Callithrix jacchus: one gene and its partners. The protein of the gene in region 4 interacts with the protein of the main gene of each other region in a pairwise test. Links are inferred from orthologs where the notes say so. Each region holds a gene or a part of one and is shown on either strand. Other genes may lie near its edges. The genes, in order: UBE2I, MBD1, TK1 and SETDB1.

Evidence for each region.
Region 1: the proteins of SETDB1 (region 4) and UBE2I interact in a two-hybrid assay, tested with the Homo sapiens proteins (2 studies listed by BioGRID and IntAct). The link is inferred for Callithrix jacchus from reciprocal best matches to the Homo sapiens genes SETDB1 and UBE2I.
Region 2: the proteins of SETDB1 (region 4) and MBD1 interact in binary tests that used the Homo sapiens proteins (3 or more experiments, as listed by UniProt). The link is inferred for Callithrix jacchus from reciprocal best matches to the Homo sapiens genes SETDB1 and MBD1.
Region 3: the proteins of SETDB1 (region 4) and TK1 interact in a two-hybrid assay, tested with the Homo sapiens proteins (2 studies listed by BioGRID and IntAct). The link is inferred for Callithrix jacchus from reciprocal best matches to the Homo sapiens genes SETDB1 and TK1.

The regions. Positions count from the first base shown.
Region 1 is NC_133513.1:3,564,566-3,568,912, reverse strand, and holds the start of UBE2I (SUMO-conjugating enzyme UBC9), read right to left. Parts: upstream 2,808-4,347; 5' UTR 2,672-2,807; intron 2,342-2,671; exon of another isoform or gene 2,075-2,341; intron 1-2,074. UniProt on the Homo sapiens protein: Accepts the ubiquitin-like proteins SUMO1, SUMO2, SUMO3, SUMO4 and SUMO1P1/SUMO5 from the UBLE1A-UBLE1B E1 complex and catalyzes their covalent attachment to other proteins with the help of an E3 ligase such as RANBP2, CBX4 and ZNF451.
Region 2 is NC_133514.1:93,464,076-93,468,268, forward strand, and holds the start of MBD1 (methyl-CpG-binding domain protein 1), read right to left. Parts: upstream 2,819-4,193; 5' UTR 2,512-2,818; coding exon 2,459-2,511; intron 1,352-2,458; coding exon 1,217-1,351; intron 1-1,216. Other genes in the region: CXXC1 (CXXC-type zinc finger protein 1), read right to left, coding at 3,865-4,011, 4,127-4,193. UniProt on the Homo sapiens protein: Transcriptional repressor that binds CpG islands in promoters where the DNA is methylated at position 5 of cytosine within CpG dinucleotides. Binding is abolished by the presence of 7-mG that is produced by DNA damage by methylmethanesulfonate (MMS).
Region 3 is NC_133506.1:133,959,204-133,962,761, forward strand, and holds part of TK1 (thymidine kinase, cytosolic), read right to left. Parts: intron 686-3,558; coding exon 596-685; intron 258-595; coding exon 138-257; intron 39-137; coding exon 1-38. UniProt on the Homo sapiens protein: Cell-cycle-regulated enzyme of importance in nucleotide metabolism. Catalyzes the first enzymatic step in the salvage pathway converting thymidine into thymidine monophosphate.
Region 4 is NC_133519.1:10,822,715-10,826,711, forward strand, and holds the start of SETDB1 (histone-lysine N-methyltransferase SETDB1), read left to right. Parts: upstream 1-1,168; 5' UTR 1,169-1,396; coding exon 1,397-1,427; intron 1,428-2,550; coding exon 2,551-2,821; intron 2,822-3,997. UniProt on the Homo sapiens protein: Histone methyltransferase that specifically trimethylates 'Lys-9' of histone H3. H3 'Lys-9' trimethylation represents a specific tag for epigenetic transcriptional repression by recruiting HP1 (CBX1, CBX3 and/or CBX5) proteins to methylated histones.

The DNA of each region.
Region 1 (4,347 bases), on a different chromosome or scaffold from region 4:
GCGTCACCAGGGCACCAGGGTTCCGGAAGCCGGGCAGGGTTGCTAGAGCCGCGTGCCCTGCAGGGGGATTTGGTTCATTTTCACCAAACACGGGTTCTCATGGTAGTCCGAGAAAAAGCAGGCAGAGGAACCTGGGTCCTCCAGTCAGCAGGCGCTGGTGGCACTGGGAGAGAGTGACAGGGGCCACTGGGCCCTGGCCTCCAGCTCCACGACTAAGTCCAAGACAGGCAGCCGGGGCTGGAGGCAGCCACGGACTGGGCCCCACTGGGATGTCCTTCCCCACATCTTCCTCACTGAGACGCAGAGGGTCCACAGGCCACCTGCCCTCCTGACCGCTTGCCCTTCCCCACACCCTCCTCTAAGTCGGGAGAAAGTGGGGGAGGACACAGCTGGGCCGAGCTGGGGGCAGGCAGGGTATGGGTCCCAAGCAGGCTGGAGTGCTCGCCAACCACGGTTTCAAGGTTCTCTCTGCACTGGCTGGGGTCTGAAACTCCACACCCCAGCCGGTGTGGAGTTTTCTCCACCTTCCCCTTCCATTGGCTCTTCCACATGGAGTAGCCCAGCACCACCTTGGTACCGGCGGCCTGAGAACTCAGGGGCTCTTGCTTCCCCAGCCCCAGGGAGGAGTCTCTGAGTGGCTGCAACCTGTGCCCTGTGCAGTGCATAGCAGCCTGGCGAGTGGCTGTTTCACGAAGGCGCCAGCTCCCAGGTGCCCATGGTCTGAGCGGGGCCAGGCATCAGACGGGCCTCTGAAGCCCCAGACCAGCGCTCCAGTCACTGAAGGACCATGGGCACCGATGCTCACAGCCAGGCAAGACCAGGCCATGGAGAGGCCAGCAGGCCTGGGACTCTGCCACAGGTGGCCTTCCTGCTGAGGACTGGACAGGGCCGCCCAGAGGCCGTGCTCAGCCCCCAGCTATTGTTGCCTCAGGTGTGAGAAGTCATGAGGGTGGTCCTGCCAAACCTCCTGCCAAGACCGGGCTGCTGCCGCTGTGCCGCCAGCCCCAAAGCACTCAGCACCAGGCGGGGGTCGTACAGGACACTCTACCATCAGGGCAGGGAGCCACAGGTGCACACCCACCCATCCTAGGCAGAAGCCAGGCCTGGCCTCCAAGATCCCTGCTCCCCCTCCTGCTGGCCTGCCCACTGGAGAAAGTGGCCCATCTGTTACAATGTAATCACAACACAGACCCAGCATTCAAAAATCCCACTGAAAACTGAATCCATCCTCCCCAACTAACAGATAGGCACTTAGTGAACAGCTAGGAGTCACTAAGGGCTTCAAAACAGGAAACTTTTACGCTACAAACACAAAAACAACTCTTCTGTCAGCGCCAGGCAAGGCCCAGACACCGGCAGCAACGGGACCTCTGGGCCGGGCACTCCAGGAGCTGCCCGAAAGTCTGCCGCCTGCCCTCCCACAGGGCACACGCAGAGGGCTGAGCTTGAGCATGTCCGATCACCACCTGGCTCTGCTGGCCGACTGCACCCACTTCAGAGCAACTTCCTGGCTGAGGGTGAGCAAAGCGCCCATCTCCCACAGTGCCGCCCACAGCTCCGCAGCCCTCATCACCAGAACAGGTGGGCGCCCCGACAGGCTCGCACCTGAAGCCCTCAAAGGTCCTCCTGCACCCAAATGCACACTCTCCCAGGCCCGGGAGGATGTTCCCTTCTGCACGACCCGGGCACCTGCAGTCGGGACACGCTCACCTGGCCGCACCTGACCTGTCTGTCCCAGGCCCCCGGGCTGTTTCCGCAGCGAGATCCCAAACCCCGGGACACCTGCAGCCACCCAACAGCCTAGGGAAGGGACCTCTTTGTGAGCCCCCAGGGCAAACTGAGGGTCCTTCCTGTGTTCTCTCCGCTAGGTTCTCTACCCAAAGGCAACGTTTCTTTAAAGAGCAAGAAACGGGTGGGGTGAGTCCTAGGGAGAAAACCGACGAAATCCCCCAAGACTCCGCGGACAGAGGAACTAAACGTGACTCCCGACTCCACACCCCGAACCACTTCGTCCTGCGCTTCGCGCCTGACCGCAGGCCACGACCACAAGCCCAGCGCGTCACCCCGCACCTGCCTCCTACGGCCCCAACTTCCAGAGCCAACCACGATTCAACCGGTACAAAGCGGCCCGAGACCGGACCAAACTCCCACCAGCGGCGCCGGCGGGGCGTCTTCAGCGGCGCGAGAGAACTTGGACGCGTTTCGGTTTGAAGGCCCCGAAGAGCCGCCCGCCCGCCCGCCGGCCCCCACCCGCGCGAGTCAGCGCTGTTGCAATCCGCGGCTCTCCCCCCGGAGGCCCATCCTCGTCGTCCGCGGGCGACCGTGACCCCGGAAGCCGCTCGCCGCGGAGGAGGAAGGCGCGGCCTCGCGGGGCCCCGGCTGCAGGTGGCTGCCCCGGCCCCGCGCCAGGCGCACCTCGAGGGCGAAGTGGGGGAGCCCCGGCCCCGAGGGCCTACGGCGAACCGGGCGCTCGGGCTACAGCCCCGCGACGCCAGCACCGCGGGCCGGGCCGGCGTCGAGCGCGGGGCCTCTCTGGGAAGCTCGGCCGCGACGCGGGGCCCGGGCTCGGCGGGGCGGGGCGCGGGGCAGCCGGGGGCCCGGGCCCGACAGCGCTGGAGGCCTTAGCCCGCCCCCGCCCCGCGGCCCCGGCCCGGCCCCCGCCCGCGCTCACCTCGGGCGGCCGCGGCCCCGGCGAGCGTCGCGGACAGGCGGAGGACCGAGCGGGGCGGCGGCGGCGGCGCTTCCCTTTGTCTCGGGACTTCCCTCCGGAGCCCGCTCCGCGCGCAGCCCGAGCAGCTCCGAGGACCCTGGGGCGGGCGGGGCGCGCGAGGCGGGGCCTGGCGCGGGGCTGCCCTCCGCAAGCCTGCCTCGCGCGCCGCCGCCGCCGTCCCGCCCCGAGTGCTGCCCGCGCCACCACCCGCCCCCCGCCGCCCGGGCCCCGCCACCGCGCGCCCGCGACCCGGGTCCGCCCCAGGAGCCCGGTCGGGGGGCGACTTTCCAGTCAGGCGGCGCCCTGGACACCTACACCCTTAAAGGAGCCGCGTCCCCGATGTGAGGGAGCGTCTGCAAACTCCCCTTCGGGGCGCCCGCGTCCATCCGAGGACGCGCCGGCGAGCAGCGGGGGCAAAAGGAGGCCGAGAACTCCAAAAGCTCCCTGGATACCCGGAAGTCACCTCTCCAGGCACACGTCCCGGAGGTTTCCTTGGGGTCAGGGCCTGGGGTCTGGGGGCAAAGACCACTGAGGCCTAAGGATACCCTGAAGCGTCGCAGGACGGTGACGCTCCCGCTAGTTTAGCGCCCTGTGAAACCTCTTGCAATTGGCCAGTTCGGGGCGGCGGGCGGGGAAATCTTCTCATCCGCCCAATGAGCTGACCCGGTACAAAAGGCCGAATGCGCGCATGACCGACGGGAGGAGAAGTGAGGATGTTCCCTAACCTGGGGGCGGACCCTGGGCGGGGGCGGGGCGCGGGGCCTGCGAGCGGCGGGGGCGGGGCGGGCCCGTGGGGGAGGGGCGCTTCCCGGCCCCACCCCCACTCCCATCCCCGCGCCAACCGCGGGGACCGGGTCGGGAGGCCCCCAGCCCCGCGAGCGCGCTGGACGCTCCGCCAACGCGCGGCTGTGCTGGCCCCGGGCTCTCCTGGCCCGCCCACCCCCATTTCGCCGACGGCGGGGTCGCTGCCAAGGTCACTGTGTCCGGGCGCTTGGGGACCACGGGGAATGACCGCATTCTTTCATTCCCTCCCTCACTGACTCATTCATTCATTCATTCATTCCTTTACTCGCTCACTCATTCCTTCACTTCCTCAATCATTTCCTCCCTCATTCATTCTCTCCCTCATTCACTCATTCCCACCCTCACTCATTCCCTCCCTCACTCATTCCCTGCCTCACCCATTCCCTCCCTCACTCATTCCCTCCCTCACTCATTCCCTCCCTCACTCATTCCCTCCCTCACTCATTTCCTCCCTCACTCATTTCCTCTCTCCCTCATTCGTTCCCTCACTCATTCCCTCCATCTCTCACTCTTTCCCTCCCTCACTCATTCTCTCATTCATTCATTCCCTCACTCATTCCCACCCTCACTCACTCATTCCCTCCATCCCTCACCCATTCATTTCCTCCCTCCCTCATTCATTCCCTCACTCATTCCCACCCTCATTCCCTCCATCCCTCACTCATTCCCTCCATCCCTCACTCTTTCCCTCCCTCACTCATTCTCTCATTCATTCATTCCCTCACTCATTCCCACCCTTACTCATTCCCTCCATCCCTCACTCACTCATTTCCTCCCTCCCTCATTCATTCCCTCCATCCCTCACTCATTCATTTCCTCCCTCCCTCATTCAT
Region 2 (4,193 bases), on a different chromosome or scaffold from region 4:
CTACATAACCCTTTTCCTGTATAACACTTAACAGTATTTTTAAAATTCCGCAGAAGACTCCTAATTGGGAGAACCTGTACTGGATCCAAGTTTAACATTTTTCATGCCATGTCACCTTTTGAAATGTGCAAGTCAGCCAGCACTACCTGATATAACCTTAATATTTTCCTAACCCAGAGTAATGTTAGTTTGGCTTTCCTCAACAATGCTATCCACTACGAATTACTGATCATCATTTCATGAATCCACCAATGTAGCTGCTTTCTCATCTTTTCCACAGCTTCAAGACTATGAATGCTTTCTGTACTTTCTGAAGCAGCCTCATATGCATATTGGCAAATTTCCTTCTTTTTCTGGTTGTACCATATTTTTGATGCGTAACATTGAACTTGCAGCCGACAGCATTGTAACTCATGTATGAAAAAGGTTTATCTACCTTCTATTTTCTCCGTAAGAAACAACACAGCCTTCTCACACTCAGGACACTAAACAGCACCTCAGCACTATGCTTGGGACCATTTTAAAAAACAAAATCACCAACAAAAAGTACAAAAATTGGAAAAATGTGACACTAAACACACCATGAAAAGAACAGTTACTTGCTTACAGTATTAAAGCTAAAACATGTCCAGGCATGGTGGCTCATGCCTGTAATCCCAGCACTTTGAGAGGCAGAGGCAGGCAGATCACCAGAGGTCAGGAGTTCAAGACCAGCCTGACCAACATGGAGAAACCCCATCTCTACTAAAAATACAAAAAATTAGCCTGGCATGGTGGCGCGTGCCTGTAATCCTAGCTACTCAGGAGGCTGAGGCAGGAGCATCCGTAGAACCCAGGAGGCAGAGGTTGCAGTGAGCTGAGATAGTGCCATTGCACTCCAGCCTGTGCAACAAGAGCAAAACTCTGTCTCAAAAGTAATTTTAAAAACTGAAACAAAAAGAGCTCCTTCAGCCTCAGCTAGAAACACAGGCACTGAGTGACAGCTTTTCACTGCTCTGTGCATGTCCTTGAATAATCACAAATGCACTGTGAGTTGTGACTTTTAAATTACAAATAAATTTTAAGTAGATAAAATTGCAAACATAAAATTTGCTAATAATAGCAATGAACTGTATATGCATAATTTAAACTCCATCCATAAATTAAACCACCCTATTTGATTTTACCCTAATCAGGTTTTACCCTACCCCAACTCTGTCCACAACCCACCCAGTACCTCTGGTAATAGGTGTCTGAGCGTCCGCAGGTAGCCCCTGACTTGCGAAAGACTTCACGGCGCTTCCAGCCAGGGCCCAGGGCTGGGCAATCCAGCCAGTCCTCAGCCATGGAGGCCACAGGAAGCTGCAGTAGCCTGAAAGGGGGTGGAGAGGATGAGGGAAACTGAGGCTCTAGTAAGGGACAAAACTGTGCCTCAGGCCACACAAATCACTGGTATCCATTAGTGCTTGCCCAAGACCTAGGATCTGCCATCCCATTCTTTCCTATTCTGGGCCTAAAAGATCCTCATTCCTCAACCCAAGGGTCCCCATTTCTTATTCTCAGTGTCCTATTCCCTACTCCTCTCTATCCTTGGACTGACATCCCATCATTTCTCCTCACTGCCAGTCCACAAACTTTTCATCCTTTTCCCTCATTCCTCCCTGTCATTGACCTAAGGTCCTCTATCCCTCTATTTTATCACCCCAAGACCCCCATACTCCCCATCCTCAAGCCCCAAAAGGCCCCATTTCTCTTGCTCTCACTACTTGACTTCTTCATTCCCCCTTCCTTGACCCAGGAGTTCCTAATTTCCCTCCTTCAGTGTTTTAACCATTCCATTCCTTCCTTGTCTGATGTCTTCTTATCCTGCTATCTCAGTGTTACAACCTCGACTTCCTCTGCGAGAGACACAACTGCTTCAACCCATGGCCTGAACAGCCCCTCATCTTTTCCATTCCTCACACTGGAAGCCTCCTATGCCTCCCCTTCCTCAGCCCAAGAGCTCCCCACTTATTTTTCTTTTCCTTCGATGTTCTGACCCACAATTTCTCCCCAGTGTCAGCCCTCAAACCTTCCTGTTTCTCTCCTCTACAGCCAAAAAGTTCCCCTCTTTTCCCCTTCACTGTTCTCATCCTCCGTTCCTCTCATCATCATCTTGAGAGACCCTAATTTCTCCCCTCAGCATTCCGAACCCTCCCCCATTCTCTGTTCTTGTCCCAGGATCATGCCATCCCTAACTGTCAGTGTTCTGATCTCCTACTGCTCCTCATCCTCTATATGGGGCCCCCATCCCTCCCTTTCAGCATTCCAACGTCTCCATTTCTCCTGTCATCAGCCTGAGGGCCCCTCATTTCTCCCTCAGAGTTCTGAACCCCTATCTCTCTCTCTCTCTCAACTTCAGATGCCCTGATGTCTCCCTTCAGCATTCTGAACTCCACCATTCCACCCTGTCCTCACCCCAGGATCTCGACACTCCTACCTGTCAGAGTTCTGAGCTCCATTCCTTCCCGTCCTCAGCCTAAATCCCCCCATTTCTCCTCGTCAGTATTCCGACGCCGCCATTCCTCTCCCTCACCGGCCTGAGGGCCCTCCATTCCACCCCGTCAGCGTTCTGAGCCTCAATTCCTTCCCATCCTCCGCCTGAGCGCTCTCCACGTCCAGCCCCAAGGCTGTCTCACCAGTCTGGCACCAGACCGGTATCTTCCGCAGCTCTAGGCCCGTGGACCCAAGGCGAGGGTCCCTCCTGCACCTTCCGCCTCGCCCTCCTCCCCTTCTTCCTCCTCGGCGGCCGCCTCCTCTGAAGCGGTAGCTGTTGCCTCCGCGGCTGTTCGTTGCTCCCGGAACCGGAAGTCCGCGGCCTGCCTCTCTCGGGCTCCTCCTCTAGAGACGCACCTGCGCGCTAATGCTTCGACGGCGCGTGCCCTTAATAGGGAGGCTCCTGCGCCTGCGGGCTAGCACGCAACTGTGCGCGCGCCCCTGCCAGGAACGAGTTGCATCTACGTGATGACGTTTAATAGCCGCTCGCGCCCCATCGAGGGATCAGCAGCCGCGGAGCCCCTCGCTGCCTCTCTGGCGTGCGCATGCGCTCTCCAGTCTAAGCTGAGGGGAAGTGGTTGGGGAGGGCTTGCGCTTGCGCCCTCCGTTTCCTCCCGCGGTCTCCAAAGCGGATGCGGACGGCGGCGAGAAAGATGGTTCAGGCCTGCGCACTCCTTGGCCCAGCCGGCACTCTACTCTCCCACCTCTCGCTGGTGTCGAGCCTGTGCCTCCAGGTCTCTCCGAACATCAACCCCAGGGCTGTCGTGTCCTGCTCCCTCCTCCCCGCTGAACCGCCGCGGGGCAAGCGGGCCGGGGAAGGGGGCGGTGCAGCTGCACCGCAGGTAAACTGAGGCACGCTGGAGGGCGCGCCCCTGCGGATCGTCAAGGTGGGGCTTAAACGGGGCCTGGCGTCCACGGCGGACGACAGCTCTGCGTGGGAGAGAGGAGCACGAGCGGGCAGTGTCACCACACTGAATGCGCGCTACGTAGACCTATGCCCGTGGGAGGCTGGGAATGTGGGTCCCTGGGCTCTTCCGGGGTGCAGGAGCCCCCATCTTACCTAGGAGTTGGGAATAGTTGCAACCGCAGCAATGTGGAGGCAGCTTCCTTAGTTTCTTCAAAATTTTATTAACAAAACCCAGGGAGGGGAAGGATGAGTGGACTCTGCAGCCCCACCAGGCACTGAACATGGAGACAGGGAAAAACCCTTTGACAAAGGCAGACGGGCGGTCAACCGGTGGATGGGCACAGGTTGAACCAGAGAAACTGATGAATGGAGGAACGGACACACGGGCACTGGGCGGCTCCCCCATCTGGAATGCAGGATGTGAGGGGTCCAGGCCAGGAGGCTCAGCGGTCGGCACTGGAGCGCAAGTCGGTAGTGAGGGGGTCGTGCTGGATCGTCTGGTGCAACATCAGGGCCAGCAATCCCGCGCGGTTTGTCATGGCTGTGCGCACATTGCGCTCCTGCTCAAATAGCTCATCCAGCTTGTACCACTGCCAAGGGAGCAGCAGGAGTCCTGAGCAGGCACTCTTGAAGCCCCGATTGCCCTCGGCCACGTCCGGGATGGACACCTACCATGTGCAGCACTGAAACCACATGGAAACCTACCACACGCACACGCTCCAAGTCCACTTCCGCACGTCGCAGCTTCTCCCAGCAGTAATGGCGATTGCAT
Region 3 (3,558 bases), on a different chromosome or scaffold from region 4:
ACAGAGTGATACTTGTCTGCTCCTCCAATCACTTCGACCTAGCCGCAGGGACAGGGGATGGGTGAAGGGCCGGGACAGGAAGGAGACAGAGCCACGCCCCCACCCCACCAGCCCGCAGGGAAGACAGGTGGAGGTACCTCCTTTTCGGTGCCAAGCCTCTTGGTGTAGGCGGCTTCCCGGAAGCACTCCATGCATACTGCGGTCAGCTTCACCACGCTCTCGGCCAGCGGCACCAGGTTCAGGATGGTCCCAAATGCCTGCACTCCCATGGAAAGACAGTGGGTGCTCGGCTACCTTCCCAGGCGGGGTTTTCTTTTAAACCCTTTGATTCATAAGCACTGAAGCCAGGAAAGTTTGCTCTGACCTCAGTCCTCCCCCAACCCCCAGAGCACCATGCCTGGCTTTGTCTCCTTGCCAATTCAAACCACCTGCCGCAACAGATGGCACCTGGTCTGCATAGACCAGGGAGTCCCTAGGCTCAGGCAAGGACTGGTCTGAGCAGCTCAACTGTGCCCCTACAGTGGCTGGGCCCTGGCCACCCAGAAGCCCCCTCCCCTCCTGGAATCACGCTCCAGACCTGGATCAGACACCTTACCTTCCTCTGGAAGGTCCCGTCCAGTGCAGCCACAATTACTGTCTTCCCGGCGTTGGCCATGGCCTCACAGAACTCCACGATGTCAGGGAACTGGAAAGGGAAGGTGGAGAAAGCGTGAGAGTTTCCACCCTAGCAGCAGCTCCCTGAAGTCCCAGCAGAGACGCTGCCAGATCAGACAACTCCCGCCATTCAGCCTGGAGCAACTCTAACTCTTCCATGAGGTTCCTCAGGCTGGGGACTGTCCATGGGTGCCCTCCCAGCAGATGACAGGCACATCCACAACTGCCCAGCCTCTTCCCTCTGCAGCCAGCTTCTGCTCCGAGTCCAGGTACCCAGGACTCAGCATCAGACTTCCACACCTGCTGTGCTGTTTAACACTGCAGCGGCCAAAGGCTGGGGCCAGACATCTGCTGCCTGGGGCTCGGACACCGCTATTCCGAGCGGACACCATTATCTGTGTGACCTTGGCAGTGAGTTAACTTCTCTGAACCTGTTTCCTCTTCACTGAGCGATAGCAAGAAAGGTCCTATTGTGTAAGGACAGAAGGCACTAAGTTATACACATGCACTTCAGTGAGTAGCTGGGCATTTTGTGCTCTTGCCCCCTCGCCTTTTTAGACAGGTAATGTGCCTTGAGAAGGTGTGGGGGTCCTCCTGGCCATTTACAGAGCAGGATGACACAGCACAGCCTTCTAAATACAGGGCCGGCACAGAGCACATTTACTGCCTACATCAAATTTCACTTTGGCCCAGGGAGAAGCTGAAACTCTAGCAAGTGCTTTGGTGATTCTCATCAATCAGTCATATTGCTTTTAGCTGGTTGAGTTCACATGTCCAGACTGGCCTTTGGGTTGGCTGAAGTGGGGATGTTCCTGTCCTTGGGCACAGGTCTCTCTCCAGGAGCCCCTCAGGCTTTCCTCAGCCCAGGTACTGAGGTTTGAGGTTATTAAGACATTAGGGCTTAGCAAGGCGAGGACTAGGGGATAACTGGAAAAATTCCAGTGGGATCCAGGTGAAGCCTGATGTAACCGACTGCGCTCAGCAGACTGCAGGGGCCTCTAGAAAGAAAACCCAGAGACTCCAGCACGCTGGGCCCTGCCCCACCATGCACGTGTTCTCTCTTTTTCTCTGAGGATTCATCACATGTCACAAAAAGGCAGCTCCCAGTCTTGCTCCCCATTGCCCAGGCTGGAGGGCAGTGGCTCAACCATGACTCACAGCCTGGACCTACAGGCTCAGCCGATGCTCCCACCTCAGCCTCCCAACTAGCTGGGACTACAGGTATGTGCCACTACTCCTGGCTAATTTTTGTATTTTTGGTAGAGGCAGGGTTTCACCATATTGCCCAGGCTGGTCTCAAACTCCTAGTCTCAAGCAATTTGCGTGCCTCGGCCTCCCAGAGTGCTGGCATAACAGGCATGAGCCACTGTGCCAGACTCTTAAGTTTTTCCAGATTAAACTTACGAAGTCTCTAATCCAAAAGGCTCCAAAACCTGAAACTTTTTGAGTGCATACCACAAGTGGAAAATTTCACACCTGACCTTATGGGACAGCTCACAGTCAAAACCCTGGCTCATGCCCAAATTACCAGATAGCATATAAAATCACTCCCAGGCTATGTGGATAAGGCATCTATAAACATATCGGATCTTGTATTTACAGTTGGGACTCATTCCCAAGGTCTCATTATATTATATATATGCAAATATTCCAAAATCTGAAAAAATCAGAAATCCAAACACTTCTGGTCCCAGGCATTTACGATAAGGAACATTCAACCTGTATTACTTGTGTTAGTAGAACAGAAAACACAAAAAACCGTTTTTTGGTTTTTTTTGTTTGTTTGTTTTTGAGACAGAGTCACTCTGTCACCCAGGCTGGAGTGCAGTGGCATGATCTTGGCTCACCACAACCTCTGCCTCCCGGGTTCAAGTGATGATTTTGCCTCAGCCTCCAAAGTAGCTGGAATAATAGGTGTGTGCCACCACATCCGGCTAATTTTTGTATTTTCAGTAGAGACGGGATTTTACTATGTTGGCCTGGCCGGTCTCAAACTCCTGACCTCAAGTGATCCGCCCGCCTTGGCCTTCGAAAACGCTAGGATTATAGGTGTGAGCCACTGTGCCCAGCCAGAAAAAAAAGTTTAAAAAAATCAGAGCTTCCACTATTGCCAAGCAACCCTGCAGGCCCGCCAGACACTGTACAGCTGTTGATGAACGCATCGGGGAGGTGCTGGGGCCAGGGTGCTCACCCACCACCAGCATCTGAAGCACAGCACGCCCAGCTAGTGGCTTTGGGGTCTCCACATGACTCTCTCTTGCATGCCAACAATTTCTACAAAGCAGTGTGAGCGCCACTGTGCCTCACCCGGCATACAAAGAAGCACAGAAGCTTCTGACCTAGGGCCTTCCTCAGGATGGCATGGTGGCTACTCTATGAAAGGCTTTCCCTGCTGACCCAGAAAACAGGAACAAGGCAGGTCAGGCTGGGCTTCTTCCACTGTCCACGTAGACAATGAAGGAGGGAAGGACAGTCCTTCTGTGGGTCCCCATACTAGGAACCCCTCTCCTCCATCTAGAAATGCTTGCAGTGGGAAGATGCTAAACTTCTAGAAAGGAACAAGGGCACACAGAATGGCACAAGGCTGATGTCTGGATATGGGGTGTAATAAGCACTCCCTGAATGAACTAAAGTTTTACTTGTGGGCCAGGGAGGAAGTAGACTGAGAAATCTCTCCTTCAGGCTGGAACGGGACAGGACTTAATATGCTGGCTCCTGGATGTTACGGAAGGAGGAAGGAGAAGGGAAAGGTTTCTGCCTGGGGGGGGTCTGGGTCAGCATCTGTCAACAAGGTTTATGCAGAGCCAGAGCAGAGCTCTTGAGCAACTCACAGTGGCAGGTCTGAAGGCAGGGAGAGCCTCGCCAAAGCTAAAGCTTCCTTGCTCTTCCTTGTTCTGAGAGGGC
Region 4 (3,997 bases):
AATTCCATTTTGGAAAATCCTTCCTTTTTGTTTTGTTTTTGAGACGGAGTCTCGCTCGATCACCCAGGCTGGAGTGAAGTGGCAGGTTCTCCTCTTACTGCAGCCTCTGCTCCCGAGGCTCAGGCGATCCTTCCACCTCAGCTTTGGAATTGCTGGGAAGACAGGTGCGAACTACCACACCTGGCTGTTTTTTTCCCTTGTATTTTGAGTGGAGATGGGGTTTCACCGTGTTGCCCAGCCTGGTCTAGAACTCCTGAGCTCAAGCGATCCTCCCGCCTCAGCCTCCCAAAGTGCTGGGATTACAGGCATAAGCCACGGCGCCCGGCCTGGGGAATCTTTTCTCCAGAAATAAAAGTCCTACCTCAAAAGGATTTTTATTTTTATTGTTGCGCTATTTGTAGGGGCTGAGAACGGAAAACAATCTAAACGAATATGGTTAACCATACTATTGAAATGTTAAAAGTACAAGTTTTACCTTTTTTATTGGCGTCAGGTAATGTCTACATACTAAACGAAGACAAACAAACAAAAAAATCTACACACAGAAACTAGAAAATTAAGCTGTGTTACCTGAAAGGAGTGGAGTGGTAAGTGATGGGGCCAGAGAGAACATTATCACGTTTTTCTTACTACATCTTGATAGCTTTTACAATTTGTATCACTTACATAACAAAATAAACTCAAGGAAAACTGAGAGAAAAAAGCTCTAAACCAATGAGTGTTACCCCAAGTCTTTACGCAATGAACGCAGTAATGTGGCCACCAGTCAAGGGTGGTAGGAGAGGCGGAGCCTCGGCAACATACTTTTGGCCACGCCCACTTTGCTCTGCCAGTAGCTTCTCACGTGTGTTTAACGCATGCGTAGTTACCTTAGTGTGCATTGCCTCAGAGGGGCGCCCCGCGGTTTTGGGTTTGGCCCCGTCAGGCTACCGTCGCGGTGACCGGAACGGCATTAGAGGTTTGCTTCCGGGCGTCTCTTTTGCTTCCCCTTCCCTCCATCACGCTTTCTCCCCTCCCCCTCCTCTCGTATCCCTTCGCTTTCGCTCTTTTCCGTCGAGGCAGACCCCCGAGTCGTGAGTCTGGGGTCTGGTTGGTGAAAAAGAGCCCTTACAACTGGAAGCAGGGAGGTGTGGGGAATACTGTTAATTGATTTATTTGGTGACCAAAGGCTTATCTGGGATGTTTTGTCTGTGGGAGGAGGTCGGGCGAGGGTGGGAAGGAAGTCGTCTCTTGAGGCGAGCGGGGGCGGGGCTGAACTGGGTTTGCGGATGGATGAGGCGCACCCCTAGCATTCTAGGGGTAGCACTGGGGTGGGCCGGTGTGTGGGCAAAGGAAAATGGAGGCGCTGAAAATCAGATTTGCCTTAACAGTTTGATTAAACAAGCATTTCACACAAATGTGTGAAGCATTTGGATTGTGGATATTAGGTAGCCACATTTTATTCCCAGGTTGCTTTACTTCTCTGGAGAAACCTTTTTGCTGCAAGCTTTTGTGTGCTTGAATACCATAGACTTTTTAAAAAGTTAATTTCCACATGAAAGCAAAGTAATGTAAGGGGAACAACTAATGAAAGAGAAAATAGGCCAGGCGTGGTGGCTCACGCCCGTAATTCCAGCACTTTGGGAGGCCAAAGTGGGCGGATGACCTAGATTGGGAGTTCGAGACCAGCCTGACCAAATTGGAGAAACCCCGTCTCTACTAAAAATACAAAAAATTAGCTGGGCGTAGTGGCACATGCCTGTAATTCCAGCTACTCGGGAGGCAGAGGCAGGAGAATAGCTTGAATTCGGGAAGTGGAGGTTGCGATGAGCCAACATTGCCCCATCGCACTCCAGCCTGGGTAACAAGAGCAAAACTCCGTCTCAAAAAAAGAAAATATTGAATTAGTGAGTTACAGATCAACTCCGTCCCCAGATGGGGGGTTTTGTTCAAATTAGGCATAACATGGCAAAGATTTATCACATTAGTTAAGGAACACATATAGACCACAAAAATACCACCTTCTATATTGGTTCTCTTCAGTTTTCTAAAAAATTATTTTTGAAGTTTTGTTTTGAGACAGGGTCACCCAGGCTGGAATGCATGGCACAAACAGCTCACTATAGCAGCCTCTCCTGGGCTCACGTGGTCCTCCCACCTCAGTAGCTGGGCCTAATGGCATATGCCACCACACCTGGCTAATTTTTGTATTTTTTTTGTAAAGATGGGTCTCGCCATGTTGCCCAGGCAGGTCTTGAATTCCTGCCCTCAGGTGACCCTCTGCTGAGATTACAGGCACAAGTCACTGTGCTGGCCCAAAACATTATTTTCAGTAGCTCCCTACTGCATAATGAATGTTTTCCATGCCCTCTCAAACTTTAAATGTTATTCAGGCCTGCTACTGTATAGCAGAAGAAATCTCAGCATCAGATTCTGGGGAATGAAGAGGGAGAACATGGACCATTTGAATAAATAACAGGCAGCAGGGTAGAAATGCTTTATTAGGGAATCAGTTCTCTATTGATTGTGGTTATAAGGACTCCAGTTTAATTTGTTTTCTGTTCCATGCAGAGGACAAAAGCATGTCTTCCCTTCCTGGGCGCATTGGTTTGGATGCAGCAACAGCTACAGTGGAGTCTGAAGAGATCAAAGAGCTGCAACAGGCAGTGGTTGAGGAACTGGGTATCTCTATGGAAGAACTTCGGCATTTCATCGATGAGGAACTGGAGAAGATGGATTGTGTACAGCAGCGCAAGAAACAGCTAGCAGAGTTAGAGACATGGGTGATACAGAAAGAATCTGAGGTGGCTCATGTTGACCAGCTCTTTGATGATGCATCTAGGTGAGAACTACATAGACAACAGAGGGAAATCTCTCCATTGGGAGATATCTTTAGGGCATAATTGTTCATGACATTATACTAAGCATTTATTTTAATTTTTTAATTTAATTTTTTTTTTTTTTGAGACAGAGTCTCACTCTGTCACCCAGGCTAGAGTGCAGTGGAGTGATCCCAGCTCACTGCAACCTCCATCTTTCAGGTTCAAATGATTCTCCTGCCTCAGCCTCCAGGCACCTACCACAATGCCTGGCTAATTTTTTGTATTTTTAGTAAAGACAGGATTTTACCATGTTGACCAGGCTGTGTACCAAGAATTTTATACTTTATGAAGTACAGATGTTTAGAACTTTACTCTTCCTCAAAGTTTATGGTCAAAAATCTGACCTCACAATCAGCCATTTATAGAACTTTTATCTGTCAGCAGCTGATACATGATCAGCAGTAAGGGAGTCCAAGTCTTAAGTCCCTTCCCCTTCTTCCTCCTGTGTTCTATCTTAGAAACAATTGCTTGTTCAGGGAGTGAGGTTTATAAAGAATTTCTGTCTTATGTAACTTTGAAGCATTATTAAGTTCCTATACTCCTAAAAGTTATTTTTGGTGATCTAGTTGTCATTTAGAATACCTTTTTTGTTTTTGAGACGGAATCTCGCTCTGTCTCGCCCAGGCTGGAGTGCAGTGGCATGTTCTTGGCTCACTGCAGCCTCTGCCTCCCAGTTTCAAGCAGTTCTCCTGTCTCAGCCTACTGAGTAGCTGGGACTACACGTGTGTCCCACCACACCCAGCTAATTTTTGTATTTTTTGTAGAGATAGGGTTTCACCATGTTGGCCAGACTGGTCTTGAACTCCTGACCTCAGGTGATCCGCCCACCTCGGCCTCCCAAAGTCCTGGGCTTACAGGCTCGAGCCACTGCACTTGACCTATATTTTTTATTTTATTTGTTTTTTTGAGTTGGAGTCTCACTCTGTCACCAGGCTGGAGTGTGGTGGTGCAGTCTCCTCTGCCTTCCAGGTTCAAGCGATTCCCCTGCCTCAGCCTCCCAAAGAGCTGGGACTGCAGGTATACACCACCTGGCTAATTTTTTTTTTTTTGTATTTTAGTAGACACTGTTTCACTGAGTTGGCCAGGATGGTCTCAATCTCCTGACCTCATGATCCGCCCCCCTCAGCCTCCCAAAG